Linked DNA regions of Saccharomyces cerevisiae S288C. Changing the gene in region 3 together with the main gene of any one other region gives a genetic interaction. Each region holds a gene or a part of one and is shown on either strand. Other genes may lie near its edges. The genes, in order: GCR2, HOM3, MOT3 and NAP1.

What was found.
Region 1: mutations in MOT3 (region 3) and GCR2 together harm fitness more than expected from each alone (negative genetic interaction), as found in Saccharomyces cerevisiae (3 studies listed by BioGRID).
Region 2: mutations in MOT3 (region 3) and HOM3 together harm fitness more than expected from each alone (negative genetic interaction), as found in Saccharomyces cerevisiae (3 studies listed by BioGRID).
Region 4: mutations in MOT3 (region 3) and NAP1 together harm fitness more than expected from each alone (negative genetic interaction), as found in Saccharomyces cerevisiae (3 studies listed by BioGRID).

What each region holds. Positions count from the first base shown.
Region 1 is NC_001146.8:264,426-272,178, forward strand, and holds GCR2 (Gcr2p), read right to left. Parts: upstream 2,106-7,753; coding exon 501-2,105; downstream 1-500. Other genes in the region: NNR1 (NADHX epimerase), read right to left, coding at 1-28; mRNA-binding protein WHI3, read right to left, coding at 3,183-5,168; SLZ1 (Slz1p), read right to left, coding at 5,850-6,746; YNL195C (uncharacterized protein), read right to left, coding at 7,098-7,753. UniProt on the Saccharomyces cerevisiae protein: Transcriptional activator required for the expression of glycolytic genes. Enhances the CT box-dependent transcriptional activation of a RAP1-GCR1 complex. Required for GCR1 phosphorylation.
Region 2 is NC_001137.3:254,645-262,126, forward strand, and holds HOM3 (aspartate kinase), read right to left. Parts: upstream 3,315-7,482; coding exon 1,731-3,314; downstream 1-1,730. Other genes in the region: JHD1 ([Histone H3]-lysine-36 demethylase), read left to right, coding at 12-1,490; PIC2 (Cu/Pi carrier), read right to left, coding at 4,093-4,995; YER053C-A (uncharacterized protein), read right to left, coding at 6,289-6,402; GIP2 (Gip2p), read right to left, coding at 7,408-7,482. UniProt on the Saccharomyces cerevisiae protein: Phosphorylates aspartate, the first step in the biosynthesis of amino acids that derive from aspartate (the aspartate family of amino acids), including methioinine and threonine, the latter of which is a precursor to isoleucine.
Region 3 is NC_001145.3:403,906-411,499, reverse strand, and holds MOT3 (Mot3p), read right to left. Parts: upstream 2,347-7,594; coding exon 874-2,346; downstream 1-873. Other genes in the region: TVP18 (Tvp18p), read left to right, coding at 235-738; NAT4 (N-terminal L-serine N(alpha)-acetyltransferase NatD), read right to left, coding at 2,934-3,791; AVO2 (Avo2p), read right to left, coding at 3,916-5,196; UBX4 (Ubx4p), read left to right, coding at 5,927-7,177; SOV1 (Sov1p), read right to left, coding at 7,263-7,594. UniProt on the Saccharomyces cerevisiae protein: Transcription factor that affects the expression of a large set of genes. Recognizes and binds to the consensus sequence 5'-[CAT]AGG[TC]A-3' in the promoter region. Plays a major role in the repression of a specific subset of hypoxic genes (e.g.
Region 4 is NC_001143.9:522,838-530,277, forward strand, and holds NAP1 (histone chaperone NAP1), read right to left. Parts: upstream 3,804-7,440; coding exon 2,550-3,803; downstream 1-2,549. Other genes in the region: UIP5 (Uip5p), read left to right, coding at 1-509; YKR045C (uncharacterized protein), read right to left, coding at 581-1,132; PLN1 (Pln1p), read right to left, coding at 1,386-2,237; FMP46 (putative redox protein), read right to left, coding at 3,993-4,394; TRK2 (Trk2p), read left to right, coding at 4,978-7,440. UniProt on the Saccharomyces cerevisiae protein: Acidic protein, which assembles histones into an octamer (in vitro). Involved in the regulation of the localization and the function of the septins during mitosis. Involved in the function of B-type cyclins.

The DNA.
Region 1 (7,753 bases), on a different chromosome or scaffold from region 3:
TTGATGAAACAACTTTCAACGTAGACATTTTTACCTTACAATGATTTCTCTTTAATACCTGAGATTGGTGTGTTGAAATGAAAATATGTGTTGGCCCAGCAACAGACAATAATATAAGCAAGGATCCTGGTCGTTTGATATTCTTCTTGAGTTTTTTTCTTATATATGAACGTATGTGTATATATTCACCATCCCTATTGTCTCCACCCCTTGTTCGCTCGTAGCGACGGAAACAATCAAATAAGAGGACCCACGGTAAAAGTAGCGTAAATTTTACGGTTCTGCTGCAAAATAAAGAAACCCATTTTGTATCCTTTACATCAGGAATAACGTAAAAAGAATTATCATTAGTTCGTAGTTATATAATAACGTCTGTTCATTATAAAAGAGTACAAGAAACAGTAAGATAGTAAACGTCACTGTTAAATAGTTAATTATACCGCCAATCTACACCAGAAAATTAAAAGAGAAAGCAATATATGTTAAACATTATTATCGTGTCATCTTTGTAAATCCCTTAACATACTTCTAACACAACCCATGTCTTCAATTAACATTTTCCTTAACCACTGCGTCTCTTGGCGCTGTAATTCCAATTCTCTTTCTAATTGCACAATTCTTTGGCCTTTTTCAGAAATGATTGCGTCATAAGCTTCTTTCAATGGGCGTATCACGGCTTCTGTATCTATAGGTCCCATGCTGTTTGAAGGATTTAAATCAACTTTCATTTGGGTGTTATTCGCGTTTAAATTAGTGTCCGGACCATCATTTATTAACGCACCCTCTGCTGCAGTTGTCATCGGCCTCTGCCTCTTACTCGTATTTGTCAGTTGCAAAAGTTCTTCCACCGCTTCGTCATCCAGCGTATTAACATCTAACGATCCCAGTGACCTTCGTTTCCACGAATGGGATCCATTATTGGACATTGTATTATAGCCCATGGTATTACTGGAAGCATTGGGGTTCAGATCTGCATGACTCAAACCAAATTCAAATCCTCCTGAGCCAGGACTGGTTGGCTGTGTATAATATCCTGTCAACGAACGAGAATTGACATCTTGTGATAGCGTTTGCAGTCGTTTTTGTAACTGTTGAGACAATGATGGATCAAAAAGCATATTGGTACCTGGGTTGCTTATTGTTGTATTACTGAATGCACTCGTATCTGTAATGCCGTTTCTCTCTTTATTACTATTTTTATTGTTTTTCCCATTTTTAGCATTTTTAGCCACCCTGGTGCCTCTTTTTTTCGTTCGGTTGTTTGGCATGTTTTTATTTCCATAGTTCTTAATATTACTCCCATTTCCAATATTACCATTGTTCCCATTATTGTTCCCGTTGTTTATTCCCTGTAAATCTGATGGGGAGCCTTTAGTTGATGTATTTAAGGAGTTTCCCTTCCTGCGTCCTTGAGTTAGAATTTGGCCGGTCTGAGGATCGAATACTGTAAATATGCTCATTGAGACTAATCGCCACAATTCATCGTTTTCTAATTCTGAGTCTGTCTTTATTTGCCAAAGCCTTCCATCCAACCGGCGGAAGTATTTTGCGTAAGGACTTGCGTCAAAACTCAGCTCTAGTTCCTTAATCATCTGTTGAAATCTTTGATATAGTTCGATTGCCGATTTTGGTGATGTTGATCTATCGTCAATTGACCCAGATGATAGTGTAGCGTTATATAGTTTTGATATTTTGGCGAAAAGTTGAGAATATTGCGCTTGCGTATATATTCCATTTGAGGTGGCACTAGAGCTCGCATTATTACCAGTAGTGGCAGGATTGCTTGCATTGCTAATGGCTGAGGTAGAACTTGAATTACCATTCGGCGTACCATTAGCGCTATCTGAGTTGGTTTTCGTCAGAGCATTACTACCAGTGCTAGTTATAATCTCATCGATGTTAGGTGTGCTATCAGACCCCATCAACCCTGTTGGATTAGCTATCCCTGTTCCAACCGCCCCGTTAACCATACCTGAGGGCGTGTTCGTTGTCGTCTGTGGCGAGTTTGTAACACTCTGCAAGGAAGCACCACTAATGACAGACTCGTTAGACAGTAAATTATAAGCTCTGATTATGAATACATCTAACTTAGTTTGGTGATGCATTATGTGAGTGTAACTTTTCGTCAAATACTCTTTGTGTTCTCAGGTTCCTTTTTGGTTTCTTGGTTGTTTTCCCATTCAGTCTAGGCGTAAGAATGTGAAGAAAGTCAAATACAGACCGCAAGCACCTTATGGATGCGTTAATGATTATTATGTCTAACGGACAACTATCGCAGAAGTCGCGGTACTTGAAGGAGAAAAGTCGTGAAAATTTTATTTTGGACAAATTGTCCAAGAAAAATAAGAAATATGACGTTATTACCCGTATTGAGATTCCATTGAAAGACATTCATAAAATTGATCAGTTCGGTCATAAACAAAGTAGAACTTCGAAATATCAAATATGTTCTTGCCACTGGTAGCCCATATTTTTTTAATCTGCTCTTGTAGCATAGGGTTGAAAATATTACATTGAAGTCGATACCGATATATACTTCTATAAAAATGAGTTCTGGAATAAAAGTAAGGCTAATACATATATATAGTGGGAGAATATCCAAAGGCAGAGTTTTTTAAACAAGGAAAGAATAAAAGTTGGCAGCATAAAAAAAAGATATTCTCTCTTCAAAACATTTGTCGGATATGACCTCACCTAAGCACTTGGTGCTTTGATGACAATAATCACACTAAAGAGCGATATTCGATAGTGAGACTTTTCCCTCTCAATCTTATTCACATTAGCGCAAGCAAAATGGAATGAATGGCACATTAAAATTGAAAATAAAAGTTCTTGTTGTTGCAGAAGCGGTATAGGAGTTCGCAAAATGGTAGTTAAGAAAAAAGATGGCGGGTTTAATTCATAGTACAATTCAAATGTTAGACAGAAAAAGAAAAAATTTCTGTTATATGCACGTTGTAATGTAATAGTAAAAAGATAATTTAACGTAATTGAAGAGATAAAGTATTATCGATGTTATTCTTATTATTAGTCGGTTTAGAAAATATTATTATAACAAATAATAAAAGAAAAAGAAAAAATGCGACAGAAAATATTATTCTTATTATAGTGGGGGAAAGATGAAAAGCAATGCATATAATGTGATACATGCAAGGAAATCAGGTTTTTGCGGAACCATTTTTTTAGTTTTTTATATGACCAACATTAGAATTGTAACTGGAAAGCATATTTACATTAGGATTTGGGTTACCACTGCCTCCTCTTCTGCTGTTTGGGCCCCTAACACCCAGTGGGTTTTTTGAAAAGCTTAATCTGATACCTCCCTTACTGCTCACAGTGGAGCGAGGTAACTGTCTACCATACAATTCAGCTAACGCTCTGGTTGCAAAACTGACATCATCGAATTCAACGAAGCACATCGGTCCGTGACTATGACCATTAGATGTGGTATTCTTATTCCTGAATGATAGTCTTCTGAAGCCTTCTTGACCAGAAAATAGCTGTCTTAGTTCTTGCTCAGTAGCGTCGGAGGGTAAATTCCCTACATAAAGGGTATTACAAGGTGGATTTTGATCAGCAGGGTTGGCAGGAGGTGGAATTCTGGCTAGTAGTGACAAATCAGCCTGAGAAATCGAGGCAGATCCAGTAATATTTGAGGATAATGAGGTAGTAGAGTTATTCTTGTGTGAATTTCTACTTGAACTTAATCTTGCGGGCGGTACTTTTTGAGGAGTGTTACTTTGATTCACAGGATACATATGCTCTGGTTGGGGTTGTTGCATAAATCTGTTCTGTTTTTGAGGTGTAATGTTCATATCAGAGGTGTTTACCATATTTGAAATGTGCTGCGATTGAGAAGACATTAAACCGTATGGAGGCAATGAATTTGAAGAGGTTAGGGAAGTGTTAATCGTGTTACCAATTTGCATCATTGGTTGTTGCGAGCTGGCAGAGAGTGCCTGGTTAGCACCATTATTGCTGGCTCCATTGTTGGAGCTGGCGTTTGCATTGGCACTGGTGTTGCTATTCGTAGGTGCAATGGCTGTCGATGCTGCAGAGGGTAAAAAGAACGAAGAACCATGTTGGGATGCAGAAGTATTTCCCCATTCTAAAGTTGGCGTAGAAGGTTGGGGAGTGCTCATGTAACCGTTGATGCTGGAAGGTATACCGCTTGTGCCCCATATCTTTTCATTAATTTCAGTGTTATCTCTCAAAAGGAAAGATTTGCCAATATCAGATGTTTGAATTGTTGATTCCACAGACAAATCTTGATGTGAATGGTTAGAATGTAACCCAATAACCTGGCCTTGAGAAGATAACGGTATTGAAGAATTCACTTGTTGTTGATTACATTGTTGTGGTGAATGTTTTTGCGTAGAGTGTTGTTGTGGCTGTTGTGGCTGTTGCTGCTGCTGTTGAGATTGCTGTTGGCTTAAAGGAGAATCATTGGAAAATGGATCGCTGAATGAAAACCTGGATCTTTGTGATAACAGACTTGGCCTTTTCATTCCCGAGTTCGATTTATTCAATCTTGAGGTGTCATTGAAAATGGCAGATGATGGGAATGAAACCAAGTTTTTTGTTGTGTCATCTATTATTTCAACGGTTGTTTTATTGGGAAAACTGGGTCCAAAGAGTTCATTTTTCGAATTCAAAATAACGGCATAATTAATAGCTAGATTCAATAACTCAAATCTGGCAATGATAAAAATATCATTCTCGTCTTCTAATGAGGCAGAAGTGATGCTTGATGAAGAGTTTTTTTTCTGTAATTCTATACTTTTCACACCTTCAGCAAGAGCGAAGATTGCATAGCATTCTCTGAGAGTAATATCCTTGGCTACATTTGACAATTTTAGGCTGTAGCTCCCCTTAATGTTGTTATCGTGATTGCTAATGTTGCTGCTTGCAATGTCTTGGGGCATACTTCCAAGGGCAAGTGTGTTTAGCATAGAAGATATCGCTAAGGGTGAGTTTGTGTCATTCAAATACAACTCCCCACTTGCGCTTCCTCTACCCGACGCTTCGTGGGGATGAGAAGTAGTGTTCAGATTCAAACTGGAACGATGACTGGGAGAAATGTTGTGTGTGTTGGTGGTACTAGACACAACGTTGTCGCTACTGGACGCAAATGACCCTGTTTGGTCAAAATAAACTGAACTTTGCATGCTAAGAGATACAGGTTTTTCCCTCTGAAATATTGATCGATAAAGGCTGCTCTAGGTAAGTGACGCTTACAAATATTTGCAACTCACAGAAAAGTGATGACAAAGACTTTTAACTTGAAATGATATGATCAGTTGAGAAAAAGCTGGTGAAGCAAATGAAAAATACGGGAAGAAAACAGGAACAGAAGGTTTTCAAAGTACACGACTTATTTTCTCTTTAATGCTAATTGATTGAATAAAGAGAAGACAGAAAGGAAACTGACACGTAAAATATGTGGACGGAATAAACAACTGTGCGTGAGCAGCGTTTCAAAAGCCTTTTCTTTTTGGAGGTCTGTGCTTGTTTAAAGAAGGCAATTCAATCAGGTGGTTATACTTGTTTATTCCGGCTTACTTGGTCGTGTTTGTTTTTTCTTTTGACCTCTCATGTCCGAAAAGGTCCAAAACAACGAGAAAAAAAAGCAGCAATCAGTTACCCCATTTAACGCGGGTAACAATAACGATTGTTCTAAATAGAGCAGATATCCAATAGTTGAGAACATGAAGAAGGATGGCGATAGAATCAGTGCGAAGCAGTCTAAAGAAGTTCCTTTCCCTTTCCTTTCCTTTTATTTTGCTAATAGTATTTGATATAAAGATGAAATACTATAAGAAGTTTATAAATTTTTTAAATTAGAAAAGCTAAATAGCAGCTTGATCGCAACAAGTGGGGAATTCTGACCAGCGCGACGCTTGTTGCATGGTTATTCCTGCATCTGGGACTGGTTTTTCATCCATACACAATCTTTCAAGCCCGATGGTGACATTTTTGACCTTGTTTGAGTATTCCATCTCTTGCTGCAGTAGCTTTTTACCTCTCTCATGCAGACCATTAGATGATGCAGATATGTTAAGATCTTCGGTAATTAGCGCTACTGAATTGAAGGAGGTTATGTCGTTGTAGTTGATATTATATTTGGGATCAGGAACTGATGAGACCGTAGTCGCATTACTGGTCGTGCTGCAGTTTGACCAGCGTCGTTCCCAGGAGGTGAACTCCATGTCTTGAAGGACAAACTGACTATCTTTCGAGACGTCGAGGACGTTATCATTGAAAAGTTCCGTGAGTTGGACATTAAGAGGACTAGATGTTTGAATAGCCTGATCTATCATGATCTTGGACACGGTTTGATGGTCTATGTCAAAATCTAGTCCAGTCTGTGGTTTAGGTTTACCATTTTCAGCTGCTGTGTTCTGATTAATGGCTTCTGAATTCGGTTCTTTGAAACGAAATTCTTTTGCCAGTGATAATTTTTTCTGTTCTTTTAGCCTTTTGTCTTCTCTTTTGTAGTTTTCTTTTTCTACTTCTTTTGGCTTCTCTCTATCTTTTCTACTTGTATTTTTTTTTTTGTTTTTAGCCATTTTATCTAAGAACTTTTTCCTTTCTTCACCAAAAGCTCTCATTTTATCCTTTTCCCTCTTAGTATCTATTTGATCAACATTTCCACCTTTTGATTTATTTTTCTTTACTTGTCGATCTTTTGGTAGTTTCACTTCGTACTTTTTGTAACCGATGATTTGATCTACTTTATTCATCATAACAGTAATATATTATGTTTTTGATTTTTACTATACTGATTAAGGTAGAAAATGGGACGATCTTGCTTTTTGTGTCCTTTCATTGAAGCACTGTTATTTATACGGTCAACTGCAGCCGGGCATAATTTCGGCGGCTATTCATATTGTCATCCCCGCACTCCTTCTTTGACAGCACGCAAGCACATGGAGGCTGATAATGCCCTCCCATATTGTAATAGAATATATTTATGCAATAAAGAGAACGCAATAGCTGCATTTAACCAATAAAAAATTCGTTATGACAATAATATGTAGACAAGGATATAAAAGTATAAGGTTGGTTATAAATAAAAACTGTAGGAAAAACAAAAACTACTTATGCAAGACCTTATTCTCAGGGTGCGAAATACTATGATCAGTAGCGTTTAGAACGTTAGCCGAAGGATTAGTCTCATCCATAATTTGGTTTCTTGGGACATTGTGCCGATCACCCACACCGTAGGCGTAGGTTTCCTTTTCCTCAGTTTCCTGATTGAATGATGGAATACTTGCGGGATATCCCTGCACTTTAGTGGTGTAAGAAGAAGCAGAGACGCCGCTATTTTCTTCTCTCATCATTTTCTCATTGTACCTGTCTGAGGAAGCCGTTTGGGGGTCCATCATGTCTTGGTTGTTATTATCGGCACGGCGAGAAGAAACGCTGTTCCACGCGTCGATGTGATGAGGTTGACTTTGAGGTGAACCTGCACCGGGAACATGTTGGTCGATAGGCCCATTGAAGTGCGGATCAGAGGTGTCTTGACAACCAATCGGCACGTTCTTGCTGTTCATTCTTGCCTCGGTCATTTTACTACTATCAAAATTGGCTAGCGTAGACCTAGCGTTTTTGTTATAGTCACTGACCACTCTATTTGTGACTTTGCCACATCCCGGGATACCGATGCTACCGGCACCGGTGTTTAAAGTAGGGCCTGGGCATTCAGTTGGTAAAATTCCAGAGCGCTGTTCGTGAGACGAAGAGTGTCCGT
Region 2 (7,482 bases), on a different chromosome or scaffold from region 3:
GCTATGGTGCAATGCAAGATCCCAATATTTGCCAGCATTGCCAGTTGAAGGATAATCCAGGCGCATTAATTTGGGTGAAGTGTGATAGTTGCCCGCAGTGGGTCCACGTGAAATGCGTGCCTTTGAAACGCATTCACTATTCAAATCTTACAAGTTCTGAAGTTCTGTCTTATCCAAATTCTGCGAAGCAAATCAAGAGCTACCGTTGTCCTAATCATAAGGAAGGAGAATATCTTACCGCATACGCTCTCATCACACAAAAAGGAAAGCGGCAAAGGAATAAAGAAAACCCTGAAGATAGTCATATAAATAAGCGGTATAATTTCAGAAAGAAGAAATTACTTGACTATATCGCTTTGAATGAGGGTGAATCGAAAAGGGATAAAATGAATCACCCTCATAAGGAGAGTTTCATGAAATCTTTTGAAAAATGGAAAAATGGCTCAAATATTATAAACGCCGCTGACTTTGCTGAAAAGTTTGATAATATAGATGTGCCGTACAAGATCATCGATCCACTGAATAGCGGAGTATATGTACCGAATGTGGGCACAGACAATGGATGCCTCACAGTTAATTATATCACCGAAATGATAGGCGAGGATTATCATGTTGATGTAATGGACGTTCAATCACAAATGAATGAAAATTGGAACTTGGGATCTTGGAATGAATATTTTACAAATACTGAACCAGACAGGAGGGATCGAATAAGGAATGTTATATCATTAGAAGTCTCTAATATTGAGGGATTAGAACTAGAGAGGCCCACTGCAGTTAGGCAGAATGATCTTGTTGATAAAATTTGGAGTTTCAATGGACATTTAGAAAAAGTCAATGGGGAGAAGGCGGAGGAGAATGACCCCAAGCCAAAAGTGACCAAATATATTTTGATGTCTGTAAAGGATGCTTATACGGATTTTCATTTGGATTTTGCCGGTACCTCTGTTTATTATAACGTTATCTCAGGACAGAAGAAGTTTTTATTATTTCCACCTACCCAATCAAACATAGATAAGTATATTGAGTGGTCTTTAAAAGAAGACCAAAATAGTGTTTTCCTCGGTGATATTCTTGAGGATGGTATTGCGATGGAATTAGATGCTGGTGATTTGTTTATGATTCCAGCTGGATATATTCATGCAGTTTATACACCAGTAGACTCTTTGGTATTTGGAGGCAACTTTTTAACCATCCGTGATTTGGAGACACACCTTAAAATTGTGGAAATTGAAAAGTTAACAAAGGTTCCTAGAAGATTTACCTTCCCGAAGTTTGATCAAGTGATGGGTAAATTATGCGAGTATCTTGCGCTTGATAAAAATAAAATCACTAGTGATGTCAGTGATGGGGATTTGCTTTCCAGGACCACTAATTGCGCAATTCAATCACTTCATGCATACGTTATAAAACCTGAAGTTAAGTACAAGCCGTTAAATTTCACTTCAAAGAAGCATTTAGCGAAAGCTTTAGCCGATCTTATTTCGTAAAATTTCTTCTTGTCCGCCACGTTCTTGTATCTTTTATTTCATCCTATGCTCTCGATGAATGAGATCTACTTTAGCAATTGATACAGTATAACCCTGACATTACATTTAGGGAATAATCGCCCCAATATAGGTTACAAAACATTAATATATATGTAAATATATGTGCGCGTATATATATATATATATATATATAAAGGGAAAATTAATATTCTATCATTAAAGTGAAGAAGAAAGGTGGATTTAAATTCCAAGTCTTTTCAATTGTTCTAAACGTTCATCAATGGCATGTTCAAATTGGTTTGAAGTATTTGTCCGCTCACTTAGTAACTTGGCATGAATACATTGTAGCGCTTTTATGGAGTCAGATTCATTGATAACGCAGGATATGTTTATTTCATTTGCCCCTTGAGAAATCATTTCAATGTTGATGCCTTCTTCAGCAAGAGTAGTAAACATGGTACCAGCAATGCCGATGTATTGTTTCATATGTTTACCAACTAATGAAACAATAGACAACTTCTTTGTGATATCAACAGAACCTAAAATTCTCAATTTTTCCTCAGCTTGTCTCAGAGATTTTAATGAGTCTGCATCTGGAATGGGCAAAGCCATCGAAACATGAACTTCAGAAGTAGATATTAAATCTACGACTAACTTGTACTTATCCAGGATGGTAAATATTTGAGCTAGGAAACCATGGGATAGGGTTTTCTTATTGGAATGAATGTTGATGACGAAAATGTCATTTTTGGTGGTGATAGCAGTGGCACCTCTCTTTCTCTTTTCATAGAAAGATGAGGATAAGTTCTCAGGAGGATGTGGTGGAGTAGATTCACCCTTCTTTGCTACATTATCTGGGTAGATAATGGTACCGTTACCTAATGGATTTTGAACATTCTTGATTCTAATAGGAATCTTAGCCCTAATAACTTGTTCCATCGTAAAAGGATGTATAACTTCGGAACCATAATATGTTAATTCAGAAGCTTCTTCTGGAGTAACACTGTCTAGCAAACGTGCTTCAGGAACCTTACGAGGATCAGCAGTAAATATACCATCAACTTCCTTCCAAACTTGTAGTTCATCAGCATTTACAGCAACTGCTATCAAAGCGGCACATAAATCGGTATAGCCACGACCAACACCATTCAGAAGACCAGTTGGAACTAAACCAAAAAACCCTGTAAAGACTGGAACGATACGCTCTTTAGCACTTACAAAGGGGGCCAATTTTTCTTTCAATGCTTGAACCAGGAAAGTGTAGAAACTGTTATCCAAAGCGCTGGCACTGAAATCAGAGGGAACAATGTGGCTCAAATCCACATATTTGGCCTTACAGCCACGGTCATTACATAAAGCAGTCATGAACAAACAACTCAACTTCTCACCACATGACATCACCAGATCTACTGTACGTGAACTCACTTCACCCAAAACTTTTGAAGCATTTAAATATTTCTTGACCAGTTCAAGTTCTTTATTGGTATCATCCACTAACTTGGCTTGCAAGGCAGGATTGAGAATGAAGCGGTCGGCATTATCGATATGGTCTTGTCTGATAACTTCGATAATGTCTTGAAATTCAGATTCTTGCGAAGCCAAATCACAACATTTCAAAAGACGAGAAGTGGTACCTTCAGCCTTGGTGTATGAAGAACGGGCGGAACAAACGACAGCGACATTATTGTTTGGGCCGTCAGGTTTAGAATAGTGCTTCACAATGTCATCCACTATTTGGACGGGAAATTTACCGACAGATGTACCACCGAACTTTTGCACGACCCAGTTCGAATGACTTGATGTAGGTTGGAAATCCATTGGCATGTAAAAGTTAAAAAAAATGAAAGCTTCTGTGATAAAATGCGATAGCTATGTGAGCTTAAGCGATGGAGAGAGTATTGGCTACACAAATATCCTTCAATGAGTAGAGCACTGTTAAAATAGAAATAAAATAATTATCCAGCAGTATTCTTATATATGGATATTATACATTATTTCTTCGAAGCTAAAAGAATCTCTGGAGAAGACTGCGTACGGAAAGTGAAAAAAAAAAAAAGTGATGATGAAATTTTCGTTTGCTAGTGAAAAAGAAAGAAAAGGTGAGTCATGGGCCTGAAAAATACACGTGGTTAGAGCCACAGTAGAGTAAAAAGTTGATATTAGGGGAGTTCTAGAAAGAAAAGGATCCTGTGAGACCAATGACAGTGATTGTAAATTGTGGGAGTGATATTTGATGTTACTATCAAATAAGGCCTCAGCCTCTGAATATGTTCACCTAAAAATTGTAGAAGATTCAATCGCGAGCGGCTGGCAAGTTTGGGCATGCATCGAGTATTGCCGTATATCGAAACTACCTTATAAATGTGTTTCTGATATGGCACTTTCAAAGTTTTCCTGGGCCTGTTCTTGGCTTGAGAAATTTGGCAATCATAACAAAACTCTTAGTATGAAAAGAAATTGTAGGACGAATATTTATTAAGACATATGCAAAGAAGAACAAACTATAAATGCCGGTCATTTACTAACTTTATGAAATCCTGTGTATACAATATTCCTCTAGCACAGAGTGTTTACGATAAACCTTGCCGATTGAATCGATCAGCTAACCGGTGGTTGGTAAGCCTACATAAGCCTTGAACGAATCGTAAATTAGCCATTGGAAACTTGTCAAAGTACCGATCATGACAATTCTCACCATTAACCCATTCCACAACCCAGTAAAGCCAATTTTTTGATATATTCTTTTAGAGGCTACAGACATGGACTCGTTGGCCTTTCTTTCGCTATTGATCTTGGAAACCATAACGTCTGCAGGATGTGAGACTGCAGCACATAATATACCTGCCAGATAACCACCTACAAAACTGACTGATATTTGCTGTAATGCGTTCATTTCTTCTTTCTTTTTAGGTAAAACACTGTATATTTTTTGAACAATTTTTTCGAATGAGGTAAACTTACACATTGTGTAAGGAATCTGTCTGCACCATAGGGGAACAATACCTTTATAAAATGCTTTCATACCTCCACTTTCTGCATACATTTTTTTCCATCCATCAACAACGTTATTGCAAAAGGGCGGCATAGTAGTCTGCTGTTTCACTTTAATAGCTTCAAATGGGCACAACATGATATCAGCGAGGAATTCAGCGGTCGCTGAGGCCATCAAGTACACAGTGACACCAGGACTTAACCAACTAGAATACAAATGCTTGAAATACTCATAACCACCATACTTACCTGCACCTTGTAGCGAATATCCGACGAATGTAGCACCAAACCCAGTGTATACTTTCTTCCAGCCTTCATTAGCTATAATCTTACGGAACCCTTGTAAGTTTGAAGTATACAACTTGGGATTGACCTGTAGCCTACATTTGACAAGATCTAGTGGAGTGATCGAAGAATGTGTTGGACCGCACGCAATTATACCACCTAAGGTACATGTGGCATAAAACTCTTTCGTATATAATTGGATTTTACGTGGTTGTTTATTGGACTCCATGCTTTACAACTGTCAATGAGTCCGTTCTCTTTTTCCCTTACTTTATTTTTTTAGAATTAAAACAATAACAGAACACTTTCAGTTAACAATGTGTCATTGACTGCCTGGAAAAAAAAATAAAATATCTATAAAACACAAGCAAAATGAAAGTATATTTGGTAGGTCCCGCTGTATTTATATCAAATGTAACAGGGTATGCAGAAAATCGATATATCCATTTTCCTTTTTATTAAGCAAAATGAAACTAAAAACAAGGAATAAACCTAAAAAAGATCTCCTTATTTCGCTAATACCCCTGAAGTCCAACTTTTGGTTAGCCGAGATCTTAGCCGAATGAGATTGTGAAATGCAACCCAAAGTGACCGTTGTTGCTAGCTAGCATATGAATGAATCTAAGAACTGGAAAGGCAAGTTAAGGGCCAAAAATAATGACTTGAATATTTTGCAGTATCTACGTTGAATTAAAGTATTCTTCGTAAGCGGTACTTTTCACTTGCTACTTGTCACCTTATTACCTATGTGCTGAGAGGGTAATGGTACGATGTTCCTTTTTGACACAATGCGTCTTTTCCCTATGCTGTAACAAAAAAAACAAAGGCCGAGGTTCGGATTTCTTAGCAGATCACGTGCTGACTTTTTGGAATACACCGTTAAAATTCTCACACGGTTAGTATTTACATTTTTTCAAGAATAGGGTTTTGCCGCTTACCTTGATATGCGGGCGATTTTGCGGGATTTCTGACATCTAATAACTTAGTAGTCATTGAAGGAACAAAGTTTTAGTCTTATTCGGATGTTTCCCTTCTTATTTTCGAAATGAAGCTTTTTGGAGAGATGGGGATAGGTGGCTTTTTGTGCCTTCCTCGAATGTCTAGCCGAGTCTTGCGATGGAAGGGCTAGACAGCATGTTTTAGAGATGTAGTAAGTTATATTATAATCATATTATAATTGCCTAAATATAGACGTATATCATATACAATAGCAAAAATACATAATTACGAACATAAAAATGAAAATAACTTTGGTCAAACAGCGTGAGCTGTCAAACGTATAAATCTTAAAAAACGTGTATTAAGTATGAGCTAAGAAGGCGCTCATCAATAGAAAACCGGATTAAAAACATCGAAAATTATTGAAAAAATATTAAGTGTAGTGTGGAAATGAATGAGTAGAAAAAAGATAAATTAGAAAACAGAACATCAACTTCGTAAATAGTAAAACGCTAAGCCAGACTAGGTAGAACTGACTTTGCATACCTCTCTTGGCGGCAGTAAGCAGATTAGCTGATTTAAATCACTGCAAGTAAGGAACATCGCTCTTGTTTCTGTTCATGACTGTTCTATGAGCACCAAAGTAGAAAACGAAAATGAAAGCGAAAATACTCAAAAAAATCTCTAAATCTTGCATTGTAGTGTGTACTGTGTAGTAAAGCTATTGTTTGTTTTTATTATTTCTATGTAGAATTCTGTAAAAGGACGAAAAGAATGTTTCCAAGCAGTATGTCTACCTCTGTCGTTGTAGAAGGGATTCCTACTTCTTTATATACAAAATGCACATCGGTAGAAATATCTAATTCTCTATTTAATTGAATGCATAAGGGGTACCAAAAAATCTCTCTTCACGTCTTATAGCTGAACAGTTATCGGATATAGGCTACCACATAAAAGAACAGGGATGTCCTAATACAGCAATCATTTTTTTTTTCATTACGTAAAAAGTAAAGTAAACCATCCATTCTCCCTTCTTTCAGTCAAATGCCGCAGTCCCTTACATTTCAAACTGAAGCGTCGGGATGAGACTGTAGAAAGAAGTAGGAGTAGTATGCAAAAAAAAAAAAAAAAAAAAAATATAACCTCTGCCGGAAGTGAAGGCACAAAAATAGCTCTCTCTAAATGGGCGGTGGAAGGGTGTTCAAAAGTAAAGAAATATAGGCGCACTTCTGAAGTCATCGTAGGTGAATAAGCAAGTCTTTATCGGCATGTTCGGGGTTTTTTTTACCAATGACGATTTCTGTCACTTAACTTTTTAGGCCTTCCGTGGTCGTGTCATAGCAACCCCTAGTTTTCTCTTCACATTTTGTCGCGTTTCCGTCGCACAGTAAGAGCTGTATAGCGTTGAATGAATGTAAAAAATGCTCACTGAAGGACGGTAGCCTTTACCAGTCTTTTACGTGCCGAATGCACATTTGTATATACGCCCACACACATCGAAGATCGGCTCCCGATTTCTTGTGAGATATTTATCTGTTTATTTGCTTATTTGTGATTTATGTATATTTACTTGAAATATTCTAGCATGTTTTAGAGTTATTTATCGGAGTTCGGTCCCAATCATGAGAGTAACTCAGGCCAAGATCTAGCAAGTCATTTTGCTTTTTATGTCCATTCTTCATCTCCTTCCTTCTGGTTGCCTTCATGCTGCCGCCGCGAAGGGATCGTTAAAGCCATCCATTACAACATCCACCTTATAATTATTCCCGTTGTTGTT
Region 3 (7,594 bases):
ATCCCTTTCTTGCTACGTTGTTTCACAAAAAAAAAAAACAACAAAAAAAGACGGCTACGAATAGTAGGGTAAAGGAGGAAAGTCTGTGGCTCGTAAAAAAGGCAAAAGAAAAAAAAAAAAGAAAAAAGGTGCTATATCAGCGAAGTAAAGATCCAGAATTCCCCTACTAGTGAAGTGGGATTGTAGGTCACCAGGAGAAGAGCAATAACAACTAAAATATACTAGTTTTCAATAATGGCTTTAAGTTTAGGACAGTTCATCAATGTGGGTGGTATGGTGAAGGATTTGAAAAGTTTCAACTTTAGCGTATATGGTAGATGGTTTGGATATATCAACATAATCTTGTGTATTGCACTCGGGATAGCGAATCTGTTCCACGTTAGTGGGGTGATAGCTTTTGGTATCATTAGTATAATCCAAGGGTTAGTGATCCTATTCATTGAAATACCATTTTTGTTGAAAATCTGTCCCCTTAGCGATAATTTCATTGAATTCATCAAGAGATTTGAAACAAATGGATGGAGATGTCTTTTCTATCTAGCAATGGCGATAATCCAGTATATTTCCATTGCAGTGATGGCTACGAGTCTAATTGTGGTAGCTGTCGGGCTAACGATATCGTCAATCAGTTATGCGGTAGCATATACTAAACACCAAGAGTTCCAGAATACGAACATTATCAAAAATCCTACAGATGACGATTTCCCTCACGAGGCCGTTGTTAGAGAGATGTTGTAATCAGTTCCGTACCATACATAAACTATATGTATATAATGTATATATGCATAATTACTTTCTAAATTTGTGATTATTACTATTATCTTGATTGTTAAATGAGTGGGAAGGGATATTTTGTGTGTCTATAAAGTCTATCTATTTGTTGTGACTAACAATAAGGTTATTCAAAACACGTTTAACGTCGTCCTTATTCAGTACACCATCATTGATTAAAGTCTTGATGTTTGTATCGTAACCGTTTCCATCTTCATTTTCGGGAGCTGTTGCTGCTGCCGCCGCGGCACCGGCACCGCCACTGCCGCTAGCGCTATTGCTGTTATTATTATTATTATTGTCGTTGTTATTATTAGAGGAGGAAGAATTGTTGTAGTTAAAGATGATGTTGTTTTTCTTGAGTTCGTCTAATAAATAATTTGTATGCTTGAGTTTCATATGCTGTAAAAGATTATCTTTTCTCTTCTGCCTGCTTAAGCACCAAGGGCATAGAAAATGTCTTTGTTGCGAGTGTGACAATAGGTGCCTTTTCAACCATGATTTTCTTTTGAAAGACTTCTCACAAAATTGGCATTGATGGATATATTTATGGTCTGATGATGGGGCAGGAACCAAGTTCGAGGCCACAGGGTTCGAAGAAGGCACCGGCGCAGGGGGATGGTTAGGTGCTGTCGTAGGACGTGGTTGCGGCATAGTGTTTATTTTCCAACCAGGAGGTAGATGCAGAGGTTGTGCCGGGTTAATATTGAGATTCAAATTTGGAGAAGGGTTTTGTTGTAGTTGGAATTGAAATTGATCCGTTATTATCGTTGGATGGTGCTGAGGAGCGTTGTTTGTATTTACAGCACCACCATTGTTGAGGTTGTTGTGTGTATTACTATGATGGTGATGGTGATGGGGTGGACCGGGGGCCGGGGCTGGGGCTGAGTGAGAAGAGTTGTTGCTGCCATTGTTAGCGGCGTTATTACCATTGTTATTGCTGTTAACTGCTGAATAGTAATGGCTTATGTATGAAGCAGGATTGAACATATATTGTTGATCCTGTTGCGGTATTGGCATATTCGCAGTGGGGAAGGAGTAATAAGCAGCCGCTGCAGCATTTGAGTTCATATTTGCGGCCGCAGTAAACTGGTTTGGGTGAATATTATTGTTATTATTGTTGTTATTATTATTATTATTGTTATTATTGCTAGTACTGTTGTTTGCGACAGTGTAATCAGAAGCAGAAATATTGCTGTTGTTGCTGTTGTTGCTGTTGTTATGGACAATCGGCGACGCAGACATATTGTTACCAGCCGTCACATTATTGTTGTTACTGTTATTACTTGTATACTGATAGTAAGGGTATATATACTGCTGCTGATGTAAGGGCATTGGAAGTTCTCTTGCCCCAGAGTTCACCATAACGTCGTCCTTGTTAGAGGAAACAGTAGTCGTGTTGAAAGGCTGTGACGCCAGCGAATCGCTGCCGATATTGTTAGTGTTCGACACATTTTGTAATATCGTGTGCTGCTGCTGTTGATGCTGATGCTGATGCTGTTGTTGTTGATGCTGTTGTTGTTGATGCTGTTGTCGCTGTTGCTGCTGCTGTTGCAGGTGATGGTCCGCATTCATTGCTCAAATATGATATGTCCCTTTACTATTTGCCTACTGTTGCCTATTAGTTTTCCTTCTGTTAAATCTTTTCTTGTACCTGTTCCTTCTTGAGGAATTGTTTTGTTCAAGTTTTCTTCCAAAAAAAATTCCTTTTTTTTCTTTTTTTTTTTGATTGCTACAAGGCCTTAATTCCTATTATTTGTTTCTATTTTTTCTCTCTTTTTTCGTAATTCTTCTTTAACTTTACATCAAAAGAGAGACAAAGTTTAGTAAATCCAGACGGAGTAGTAGTATAAATACTATCCAGCGCAGATCATGACAGGATGATGCGCCTTGGTAGGATAAAAAAAAACAACAGCGGAGGCTACAGCACATCTTTTGAGGAAAAAAAAGAAGAAAATCAAGAAGAAAAACGAAAAAACCGGCAATAAACACCGTTATCGCCACTACTCCTTGCCGTGCGCAGTTATCGGAAGGCGCCGAAGGCGGAGAGCAGGGAGCGTTGTTCGGGTCTCCTCAGTCGGAGTCAAGGATTCGAGTCGCGCCGCCGCGTACGTAGTTTTACTTTTAATTTTTTTTTTATCGCGCGTTGTCCCTGTCGGCTTTCACGGCATGTGAAGGCAATATACGTAATAAAGCGGATCGCAGGGCACGACTACACGTCCCCCACCATGTCGCGTGTGACGAATTGTGGGTGATGCTGGTGCGGGTGATCCCGGAGCGCGGTAGAACCCAAGCGCCTCATATAGTCGCCGGGCCCGAGTGTTATCACTGAATACGGTGAGTGCTACACCGAAGAAATTGTCGCACATGCGGCGGGTGTGTCGAGCTACGCCATCGCACAGTGCATGCTCCAGTAGCCGCCGACCGATTCCATGCCCGCGGTGCGCGCTAGCTACATGTACTTCGTAAAGGTATATCACGGGCACGCTAACCTCGTGTAAAGCGTCACCTTCGACGAGACCCGTCTCCTCTGTAAGCATGAATGAAGTAAATGCACCTAGCACGCCGTTGTCCCAGTAACAGACATACACAAGGCCGGCGCTTTTCATCTCTGCGAGTTTGTTTGCCTTCCATGGTTTCCTGTTGCCGTACATAATGCGCGAGGCCCGGCGATACTTGGCGCCCAGGTGCTTGTCTATCAATTGCACACAGGCGTCCAGCACTTGGTCGCCGCGAGATTTGTGCAGCTTGTAGTTTATACACTTGAGGCTGTCAACGCTGTCAATACTGTCAGTGTCATCTTCGGGGATGTAGATAATCTCCCTTTCTAAAATAGCGGTGGTGAAGTTACCGTTTCCATCTGTATCCTTGTGCTCGATGGATTCAGGAAATTTTTCCACGCATAAGTTTAAGAAATGTTGGAACATTGGCGCCATGGCGACCCTCCTTCTTTCTGTTAGGTGCTCCTTCGATGTTCGTATACAGTTGTAAGTGTTCTCACTATATACCGAAGAACGCATCTCAGTGGAAAGAAAAAGAAAAAAGAAAAAGAGCTAAGAAAAAAATCTTTTAATGGCGCGCGCGCACCGCGCATACATATGTGGAAAAAAGGATGCATATAAAAAAAAATACGTAGTAGTCTTCTCAATCTTCTGCACGCGTGTTATTGCTATTTCTTAATTTTGAGATGGGTATGTTCAGAAGTGACACTCGTCTCCTCGGCTCGCCATTGTTTACCTTAATCTTGTACTTGTTCTCGTTCTCATCGTCCGGGTCCTTTCTTAGTCCCATTCCTATAGTGGCATCACCGCCATTGCCGCCGCCACCGTCATCGTTGATTGTAGCTGTCTGTGAGTCTCCTCTCACGTTGTCATTGCTCTTGTTAGGCAACAAGTATCTATTAATCAACGCGATGTTGTTGTGCGGACTTGTTGGTGTTGCACTGTGTCGTACTGATTCAGATACAAGCTCTTTCTTGGGCGACACACCTACTGGAGTCTTGACGTTGATGGAGTTCACTCTTAGTCTCGAGCTGGAATTTGAGCTTGACGAAAAACTGTCCGTAGACAAGGTTGGTTTTCGTGGGTTGAATACTGGATTTGTGATAGAACTCCTCCGATTCCCACCGTTACCGCTTGTTGTATGCGTTGATATCCTTCTTGGTAATACCGGCAACGGACTATTATTGGAATAGAGCGAATATGGCGAATTCATGCTTAAAACTGGGGAAGGCCCGTCCTCGAAAGTGGCCTTCGCATTTAGTATAGGAGTTCTGAATGAACTTGGTTTTTTGCCTGCACCCAACGGTGGCCCCTTCTTTTTCACCTCTTTTAACACTTTTGAATATATATTACCTACTTCAAACGTTTGTGCTACATCTATTGGCTTCCAATTTCCCTTGTCCCTGACATTATCATCCAAGGACACCTCACCTTCATTGAGAAGCATCTTCATACAACTTATACTGCCATACTCCAGGCATACATGCAGCGGCGTGTCGCCATTAGTGTCCATTACCCATAAATCAGCACCAACTCCTATCAACAGACTCAGACATTGGTAGTAATCGTTCATACATGCTATATGGATGGGGGCTCTACCATTCTCTCCGCGATGGTTGATAAATCGCGGAAATTGTTGCAAAAGTAAATGTAAGGTTTGCTCGTGCCCTTTCATTAATGCTAAATGCACACAGGTGTTTCCTTTAAAGGTTTTTATTAGTTCATGCTTGTCGTGCCCCAGCTGAATTAAATACACGCATATAAGGTATCTTCCATGGTATGAGGCGTAATGTAATGAACTCCATCCGTTCTCTGAGTCTATGTTGGTTAGCAAATCCGGATTCCGTCGCAATAATCTTTTCACTATAAGTAAATTGCCTTCAATAATAGCCTCCCGCAAGCGAACTGAGGGCTCTTTCAACATCTTTTGTTCAATATATCCTCTTTTCTAATGGGCGTTTTTTTTTTTTATTTTTAGGGTCCAGTTGATTTATACATTTTCAATTGTACCAGATCAAAAAAGTCTAGAGGAAAAAAACGTAATTAAGACAGAAGAAAAAAAGTATCAACTCCGGAATAACCGGGCCGCAAGAGAAATCAAACAATTAGTTGCACGAACATTTTTATCAGGAATAAGCAGGTAAGGGTAGGTATAAAGGTCAGCTCAGTACACGTATATCGTGTGAGTTATCTTTATTAAAATAATGATTCCAGAATAAGCGATGAGAGAGTAACGCTATTGGAATATGATATGGGAAATATCTTGAAACAATTTCAATAATTTGTCCATGTTTATGCAGTGTTGTACAAGCGTTTTTAAAGAAACTGTATAATATTCAAGATAGCGGGCGCCTCAACCGCTGTTTTGCTCCTCTTTTCTCTTGGAACTCTTGCCAAGAAAGATGTACGCCTTATAAAACGCTAGATGCTATTTCTTGCAACTTTATTACAAAATTTCAGCACTATTTCTTGCAATCCTAGATGTTTCCCTGTCTTCTATCTTCGATGTTAATTTAGACGTTTCTTCAAAGATTCAAGTTCTCTTTTATTGTACTATGTGTGGCAAAAAAAAAAGAAAACCAAAAAATGCAAAAACTAAGATAAATCTACGTACTGCGAAGAATAGCAAGGCAGACTAATAAGCGCACAATACAATGCCTATGGTTACCGTGAAGTATAACTTCCAACTTTTCAAATGTAAAGTTTCGTTGAATTCAACACTAAACGATGTGTTACACCAATCCATACAATTCTTTCAACTGCACACCTCGTCAAACGACTGGTCATTGATACATTTGGATAAACCGGTGCCATTAGATTTGCCATGGAGGCTTCTAAACTTACCAACGGGTGTCAACTTAGAATTATCTAAAAGTAGTAATTTTCCGGTGGCGAATAAGACCAACCGCGAAGATATTCCATTCAATACGATCAAAATACGGTTTCAAATCCCAGGAAGAGATTCCGTGGTTAAAGAAATGCCATCTGACCAACCAATTGCCCCTATCTTGCGACAGATGAGCGGCGCTGCGGGAGATGATTTTAAGATCCAGGTCTTTTCCAAGATAATAGAGTTCAAAACAATTAAGGATGAGAATTTGACTCTCGAAAATTTAGGGATTCAGGAGCCTTCGTCAGTTAGATTGATTTTTAATAATACATCTCATTCTGAGGGCATTAGCGCTAATAGCGCTATTCACCCAAAACAAACTCCCCCTACGATGACGAACCCGGAAACGGTTGCTTCACTACCACCTCACGAACTACATAAACCTTCTGTGTTTTTGCCCTCGGATGAGCCATTAGCAGTTATCAAGGATCAAATCGAGGATGAAGAAGATTATGAATTGACAGTAGAACAAGCCAAGAAATACCAAAAAATGTTATCATCGAAGGCTGGTACTTTGGGTGGTCCTATTTTGACAAAGAGACTTAGAGAGCAATCAGCCAACAACTTGCCAAAGAAAAATAAGGCTATATCTGAGTGTTTGCTGAGAGTCAAGTTCCCCGATAGAAGCCATATTCAAATAGCATTCAAACCCAATGAAGACATGCGTACAGTTTATAACGTCGTGTCGCAGTTCCTGATCGATGAGAACATGCCTTTTACGTTAAACCAATCTCATCCTTTCAAACCCTTGGCTAAAGACGATAAGAAGCTACTGGATGACCTGGAATTTGGCTCTAAAACAATGCTGCTTTTTGAAACAAATTCAAATTCTAATGGCCCATTAATAAAGGCTCATCTTTTGGAAGACGCACAAAAAATCACACACGAAACGAGGACAACCCCATCAGTTAATACGATAAATAAATCCAATCCACAGGGCCCTTCTGATAACGCTACAAGTATCAAAAAGACTTTAAATAGAGTACCTAAATGGATGAAATTAAGTAAAAAATAAATACAAAGCTAAACAGTCTCCTCTTTTAACTTTATTACAAATATGTACACGTATAGCTAAAATTATATAAAATGCATCCGTTTTTTTAGGCTTTTATCTTTAACTTATTTACATCTTCTATTAATTCTTCGAGTAAAGTAAACTCTGTTCCTAATTCTTTAAAAGCATCTTCTACCATCAAGAAAGTAGAACAATCACTTTTTTCCTTCCATTTTATAAAGATCAAAATCTCCCTGATCAAATGGGATATTGTATTCTCTTGATTTGTACCCTGTGGAATGTTTTTTAAGATTGACTCATTATTCATTAGCTCCGCCTTCCGTAACTTGTACTCACAAGCATCTTTACTGATGTTACTAATATCTCGTAAATATTGTCTTTTCAAACCCTTTAGAATATACATACTCAAATCGTAAT
Region 4 (7,440 bases), on a different chromosome or scaffold from region 3:
TTGAGTTATTTCAAACAACCGAAAATCTGTACTTGCCGAAAAACATGCACACGGGGCAAAGATACATTGGCTGTAGCGCATTAAATGGCCAATTAACGGAGACAGTGGAGCTGCTGGACGTATCCACTAGCGAATTCCATTGGAACGACATGGATGCGTCCATTGAGGACACCTATGATTACGCAAAGGAAGCTGAGCTATTCCTGGAGCAGGAATTTGGCGAGGTCCTTGACAGGGAACCCGATGAGTTCACCAAATGGAAAATGATCAAAGCTCAACCAAACATCAAGACTGGGTCACAGTCAGCTGAACAGAAAACTTCAAACAATCCTCACTCTCGGTTGTTCAAGGTCGTGCTGACCATATGGCATTATAGCGAGATTTTGCTATTGATCATGGGCATTTATCTTTTTTCTGCTTGCATAAGAGTTTTCCAAAGAAGGTTCAAAAAAATTAGATCCAGAAGAAAAAGGGCAGGCTCGCATTCTGTGGGGCTATTGCCCATGTAGCATTGCATAGGCACGCACATACATACATACACAAATAATACAATATAGGACGTTCATCTTAGGTAGCCAATTCACGGTCTTCTTGTGGTAGTGTTACTTGCGTTCGACGGCGGGAGGGTTCTTGATCGATCCAATATACTCTGTGGTGGGATGGCCAGAACGCTAGAATTCGTCTCAAACGTCCTGTTAGAGAATATTGTGGGCCTCGTAGACTGTATTGAATGAATGTCCGAGAAAGTAGACGACTTCACTGACGAGGAACAAAACGATACTAGCGGAATAACACTTGCGTTGTCGTTTTGTTGTTGCTGCTGTTGCTGCTGCTGCTGTCTTACTTTGCCTGTTGGTGGTTCATCCCATGCCACTCGACGGTCTCCTTCGTCATCGGATTCGCTCGAATGCAACGAATTTCGATCAACCAATGGTCGCAACGACGAACTGATGGTTGTTCCATCCGGATCCAACTCAGCACGCTTAACTCTTGTGGGGCCAGCCCTAGTGCCGCGTCTTGGTTTACTGCTCGAGACCGATGCGTTAGTTGTGGTAGTGGTGTTTATTATTTTTTTAACCCACACTGAAAGTTTGTTTCTTCTTCCCTGGGATGTATGATGACTGTTTGACATGCTAGGACTTTCCCTTGGCACCATGTATATTCACTTTTATTGTCTCTTGATCGAGCTATAACCAAATTTTTTTTTTTTTTTTTTTTTTTCGTTTTTATAATTTTTTCTTTGGTATTCAATTGTATATAGTGCTCAAACAGCAACGTACATAATAGCTAGCAAACAATAGATGAAATAATAGAATAATAACAAATAACTATATAAGAGTGGCAGGAAAAAAAATCAGGCGCACGATTAGCGCAAAACCAAATTACTAATTGGTCGACACAGCCGCGGGCTTAGAATTGGTTTGGTCTTCTCTTGAGGCCTTTAGCTTCTCAATGGTGGCATTGCCCAAGTCCAACCCGGTGGATACAATGGCTTTAGGGACGCTTTCAGATTTACTTAGATTGTTTTCATAGACAGTGGTGAAGCGTTGGTAGGTTTCGTTAAGCTTAGTCTTTGTTGGGTCGATGTACACAGACTGCAACTTGTCAGTTGTGGGCTTCACTATGGCGTCGTACTTTTCTTTAGCCAGGTCCTTGGTTGGGTCGATATAGTTCGACTTGACCTTGGACTGGATCTCCTGCGACATACCTCTGGTCGTTGAAGACAACTCTGCCACGTGGGGCAAAGAAGAAGCATCAGTGACCTTGTTCTCCTCACCGGAAGAGCCGATCTCCTTCGATGCGGTAGAACCTTGCAAGTGCAATGGCTTGATCAGGAACTCCCTCAACAGAGTATTAGAAATGTTGGCGACGTAGTCGACGAAGAACCACACCAGCCAGATCCCTGGCGTGTTGGAATGTGATTTCCAATTGTACAGCAAGCCGTCGACACCCTCCTTGAACACCAAGAGGTTAACTAACTCGTCCAACTTGAAGGCCCCTTCCTTCCCAGCAGCAACAACTTGCTTCACCAGACGAGGAGAGCTGGACGATTCGGAAACCCACTGGTTCACAGATCCCAAAACAACGAGGTTGAAGGAAATCAATCTCTCCACAGGTGGCAGAGATTCCGCATATTTAATAAACTTGGATAAAGCTGGGTATCTTTGCAGATGCGACCAGGTTGCTTGTGGCAATTCCACAGATGGTTTAGAAGAAGAAATAGATGATTCAGACATAATTACGCTACGGTTCTGGAGAGTGAGTGATGGTTAATGATTACCGATACATTCCGTTATCTTTCCTTTTATAACCCTTGCTGCTATATTATTAAATCCGAAAGAATACGATCATCCCCCACGGCGGAGAAAATCTAGGCTATTATTATCATTATTATTATTATTATTGTCGTCTTAGTTACATGCGCTTTAACATATATTTCAGCTTACACACTTACATGTATATACATATATATATCTATATATGTATGTATACATATGTATATAAATATATGAATACGGTTATGACCACTCTTGCGAAGTGCGTTGGGATTATGACTGCTTGCATTCAGGAGCCTGTTCCGGCCTGCCAGCAAAATCGTCTTGCTCTTCGGCAGATTCCCCGTCGTCATCCTCCAAGCCGTGATCATCATCTTCTTCTTCGTCTTCGTCCTCGTCCGCTTCTTCTTCGTCCTCCTCGAACTCGAATTCCAAGGCTGCGCCGGTAAACCAGTCCACGGCTCTAGGAATTAGCTTGTCCTTAAGTTGTTCCCCGATGGAGTAGTCTAAAGCTAGACGTTCCTCGAGGTCTTCCTCCAACTCCTCGTCTTGGTCTTCGTTTTGGATCTTGGGAGGGTCGAAGAAGTTGAAAAAGGATTCTATGGGAGTGATCTTCTCGATGGTCCTCACCTGCTTGGTGGTCTTGTTTCTCTGCTTGCGCATTTCTAGGTCCACAGTGACGTTGTGGGCGTTGTCCTTCCAACTGATCTCGCAGCCTTCTGCGTGGTCGTAGATAAAGTCCCCGGAGTAACCGAGCTCCTTCTGGTAGAAGTAGGTCTTGCACAGAATGTCGTTGGTGAAGAATGGGTTGGCGGAAGAATCAAATCTGAACAACAGCTTGAAACCGGGTCTACCATCCGTCAAGTATTCCAGACCAATATCTTGCAGGTACTCCAGAACTTCCGCATCGCGGTCAGTGATCGTGTCGCAAACGATGGGCAAGTTCTCTAATGCGGTTAGCCAGAATGAGGGAATTCCCTTCACCTGTTCCTCCTCGGAATCATTTTGGGCCTTCTCTTCTTCGTCCACCAACAACTCCGTCTCATTGAGTGACTCCACAATCTCTTGGCCCTTTGCGATCTGTTCCGGCTTGGGTTGCTCTTGTCCTGAAATGATCCTGGACCGCTGCTCCCAAATGGGCTTGTACTTCTGCAGAAACTTGTTCTCTAGCTCAAACATCTCCACCTGAAATTCCTTTTCAACTTCGAATAGCTCGCTTTGTAAAGTCTTCAAGCTCAGCAGCTTTTCCTTAACGTTCTTGGGAAGACCCCCCACATACCCGCTGTCCTGGCCCACCAGCGAGCCAAGTCTGTCCTGGATGGACTGTAACAACAGGGGTTGGTTAGCCAAGATGTCCTCCTCGTTGATGGTGCCGATCTTGTCATCCTGCTCCTGTGCCTGGGCCCTAACTGGGTTGCCGTTTTTCAAATAGCTCGGATTCAGAACCGATGCTGGGGTATTGTGAGGCGTAGGGGCGTTGTCGATTTGCATCGACGACTTGGGTTTCGTTCTGATAGGGTCTGACATGATCTTGCGCTTTGCTCTTGGTCCCACTGGGCTCACTAAATCCTCCTAATCTACCATCAAACTGCCATTTTTGATCCCAAACGCTGCTATTTAAAAGGAAAAATTTTCCCAATTACGCGGGTAATACAAAAAAGATATAGCCCATTGTTATAAAAATATGTATGTGTTCAATATAGTGGTATATAGGTGTTATTTGCGCTGAATGATGTACTTGTCAATGTCTGCGGGCTCATTTCCCACCAACTTGTTTTCCCAGTCGACCCAAAGCGCCTCCTTTGGATTCCAAAGTCCCCTCTGGACACACTTCTGCAGGTCCATCCCGAACGTCGGGTCTGTGTGCTTGTATTTGAGCACTGAATCCAGCTTTGGAATCTGCCTTTGCAACGAAACTGGGCCTTGCGGGCACGAAGTTCTCATGTATTGCAGCTGGTCCCACGTGGGAAAGCGGTTGGCGATTTCCACGTCGAATCGATGAGAGACGTCTCCCTTCAGCAACTGCAGGCATTTCTGCGACTTGATATTGGACGCGATGTCATTGGTAAACAACGAGATGGTACGTGGCTGTCTCTGCAATGTTTTCCAAAACGACATTTATTGCGTTTGCGTTTGCGATCTCCCGGTCTGTTATTTTCATTTGCACTTTTCTTAACGTTCTCTTTTGGTTTTATATGCCCCTTTCCAAGCTGGGTGGATACCCCGTCCATTGAGTGCCCGTGCCCAATCAAGCTAAAGCCAGACTAAAAAGAGGAAGAGTTCAAGAACCATCAATGCCTCCAGCACAATTTCACAACAGCTTGACACTTTGGCAACGGTTATATCAGAGCATAGCGACGGGATTAGAGAGATGCAAGACGACGGAAGAAAGAAGGGAGTGCCCGGCATGCGCTGAAAGCGCCCTGTAGTACAAGCGTACCGCCGTTGAATAGGCCATGGTACATCACACGATGATTGATAATTTGATGCAAGCTGCCATGCTCAGATGGTTGTTTCCCGTTTCTCTCTTTCACTTTTGATCTCCTGCGAAGAATAGGATGAGATGTGAATTTTCGTTTCTAATCCCCTCGGCCGTGCGGCTGAAAAAGAGAAATGATATTGGAATAACTAGGTTTCAGATGATGAGAAAAGAGGCTATTTTGTACTATTCACCGACGATAAGAGGCTGTAAGAACCACTCATGCCAACAGCTAAGAGGACGTCATCCAGGGCTTCGTTGGCACTGCCCTTCCAGTTACGGTTGGTGCACAAGAAATCATGGGGCCATCGGCTAAGAGACTTCATTTCCGGGTTCTTAAAATCATGCAGACCCATTGCTAAATACGTTTTCCCCAACTTCATCGTGGTGCACTATATCTACCTGATCACGCTGTCGATTATCGGGTCCATTCTGTTATATCCGTGCAAGAACACGGCGTTCATCGATGTGCTATTTCTGGCTGCTGGAGCGTCTACACAGGGCGGGCTGGCCACCAAGAGCACTAACGATTTCAACCTGTACCAGCAGATAGTGGTGTACGTCATTACATTGCTGTCCACGCCTATACTTATTCATGGGTTTTTGGCCTTTGTCAGGCTGTATTGGTTTGAAAGGTACTTCGACAACATTAGGGATATCTCCAAACAGAATTTTAAACTAAGAAGGACCATGACGTTGCAACAAAGGGAACTATCGGGCAGCAGTGGCAATGCCGCTCGAAGTAGGAGTTTCAAGGACAACCTGTTCCGTGGGAAGTTTGTTTCCAGAGAAGACCCACGACAATCCGCTTCAGATGTGCCGATGGACTCTCCTGACACGTCCGCATTGTCCTCAATCTCACCGTTGAATGTTTCCTCCTCTAAGGAGGAATCCAGTGACACGCAAAGCTCGCCTCCAAACTTCTCAAGTAAGCGCCAACCCTCAGACGTTGACCCAAGAGACATTTACAAATCGATAATGATGCTACAAAAACAACAAGAGAAGAGCAACGCAAACTCCACGGATTCTTTTTCGAGCGAGACCAATGGACCCGCTTTCATTGTGCAGGAACGTCATGAGAGAAGAGCCCCCCACTGCTCACTGAAACGCCATTCTGTCCTGCCATCTTCTCAGGAATTGAACAAGCTAGCCCAGACGAAAAGTTTCCAGAAATTGCTTGGCTTGCGGAGAGATGAAGGTGACCATGACTACTTTGACGGTGCTCCTCACAAATATATGGTCACCAAGAAGAAAAAAATATCTAGAACGCAATCATGTAACATCCCAACGTATACTGCTTCACCGAGTCCTAAAACCTCAGGCCAAGTAGTTGAAAATCATAGAAACTTGGCCAAGTCGGCGCCTTCATCTTTTGTTGATGAGGAGATGAGCTTTTCACCGCAAGAGTCTTTGAATTTACAGTTCCAAGCGCACCCGCCCAAACCAAAACGACGTGAAGGTGATATAGGCCACCCCTTCACCAGAACAATGAGCACCAACTATCTATCGTGGCAGCCAACCTTTGGCAGAAACTCCGTCTTCATTGGACTCACAAAGCAACAAAAGGAGGAACTCGGCGGTGTCGAATATCGTGCTTTGAGATTGCTGTGCTGCATTCTCATGGTATACTACATCGGATTCAACATTTTGGCGTTTGTGACCATCGTTCCATGGGCCTGTACGAGGCACCACTACTCAGAGATTATTAGACGAAATGGAGTTTCTCCAACCTGGTGGGGGTTTTTCACTGCAATGAGTGCATTCAGCAACTTGGGTCTGTCTTTGACCGCTGATTCAATGGTTTCCTTTGATACTGCGCCGTATCCGCTGATTTTCATGATGTTCTTCATCATCATAGGCAATACAGGCTTCCCAATTATGTTACGATTTATCATTTGGATCATGTTCAAGACCTCGAGAGACCTATCTCAGTTTAAGGAAAGTCTTGGGTTTCTCTTGGATCATCCGCGCAGGTGTTTTACGTTGCTGTTCCCCAGCGGCCCCACATGGTGGCTGTTTACAACTTTAGTCGTCTTAAACGCTACGGATTGGATTCTTTTCATAATTCTGGATTTCAACTCCGCTGTAGTAAGGCAGGTTGCTAAAGGTTATCGAGCTCTCATGGGCCTCTTCCAGTCTGTATGCACAAGAACTGCTGGATTCAACGTTGTTGACTTAAGTAAATTACACCCGTCCATTCAGGTGTCTTATATGCTAATGATGTACGTTTCGGTCCTGCCGCTGGCGATTTCCATTAGAAGAACGAATGTTTATGAGGAGCAATCGTTGGGACTATACGATAGTGGACAAGATGACGAAAATATCACCCACGAAGACGATATAAAGGAAACAGACCATGATGGCGAATCCGAAGAGCGAGACACTGTATCTACAAAGTCCAAGCCGAAGAAACAGTCCCCAAAATCGTTTGTTGGTGCTCATTTGAGGAGGCAACTCTCTTTTGATTTATGGTACCTATTCCTTGGATTATTTATAATATGCATATGCGAGGGCAGAAAAATCGAAGACGTTAATAAACCTGATTTCAATGTCTTTGCTATATTGTTTGAAGTTGTTAGCGCTTATGGTACAGTGGGTTTGTCATTGGGTTACCCAAACACCAACACATCACTATCTGCCCAGTTCACCGTATTATCGAAGCTAGTCATAATTGCCATGCTAATA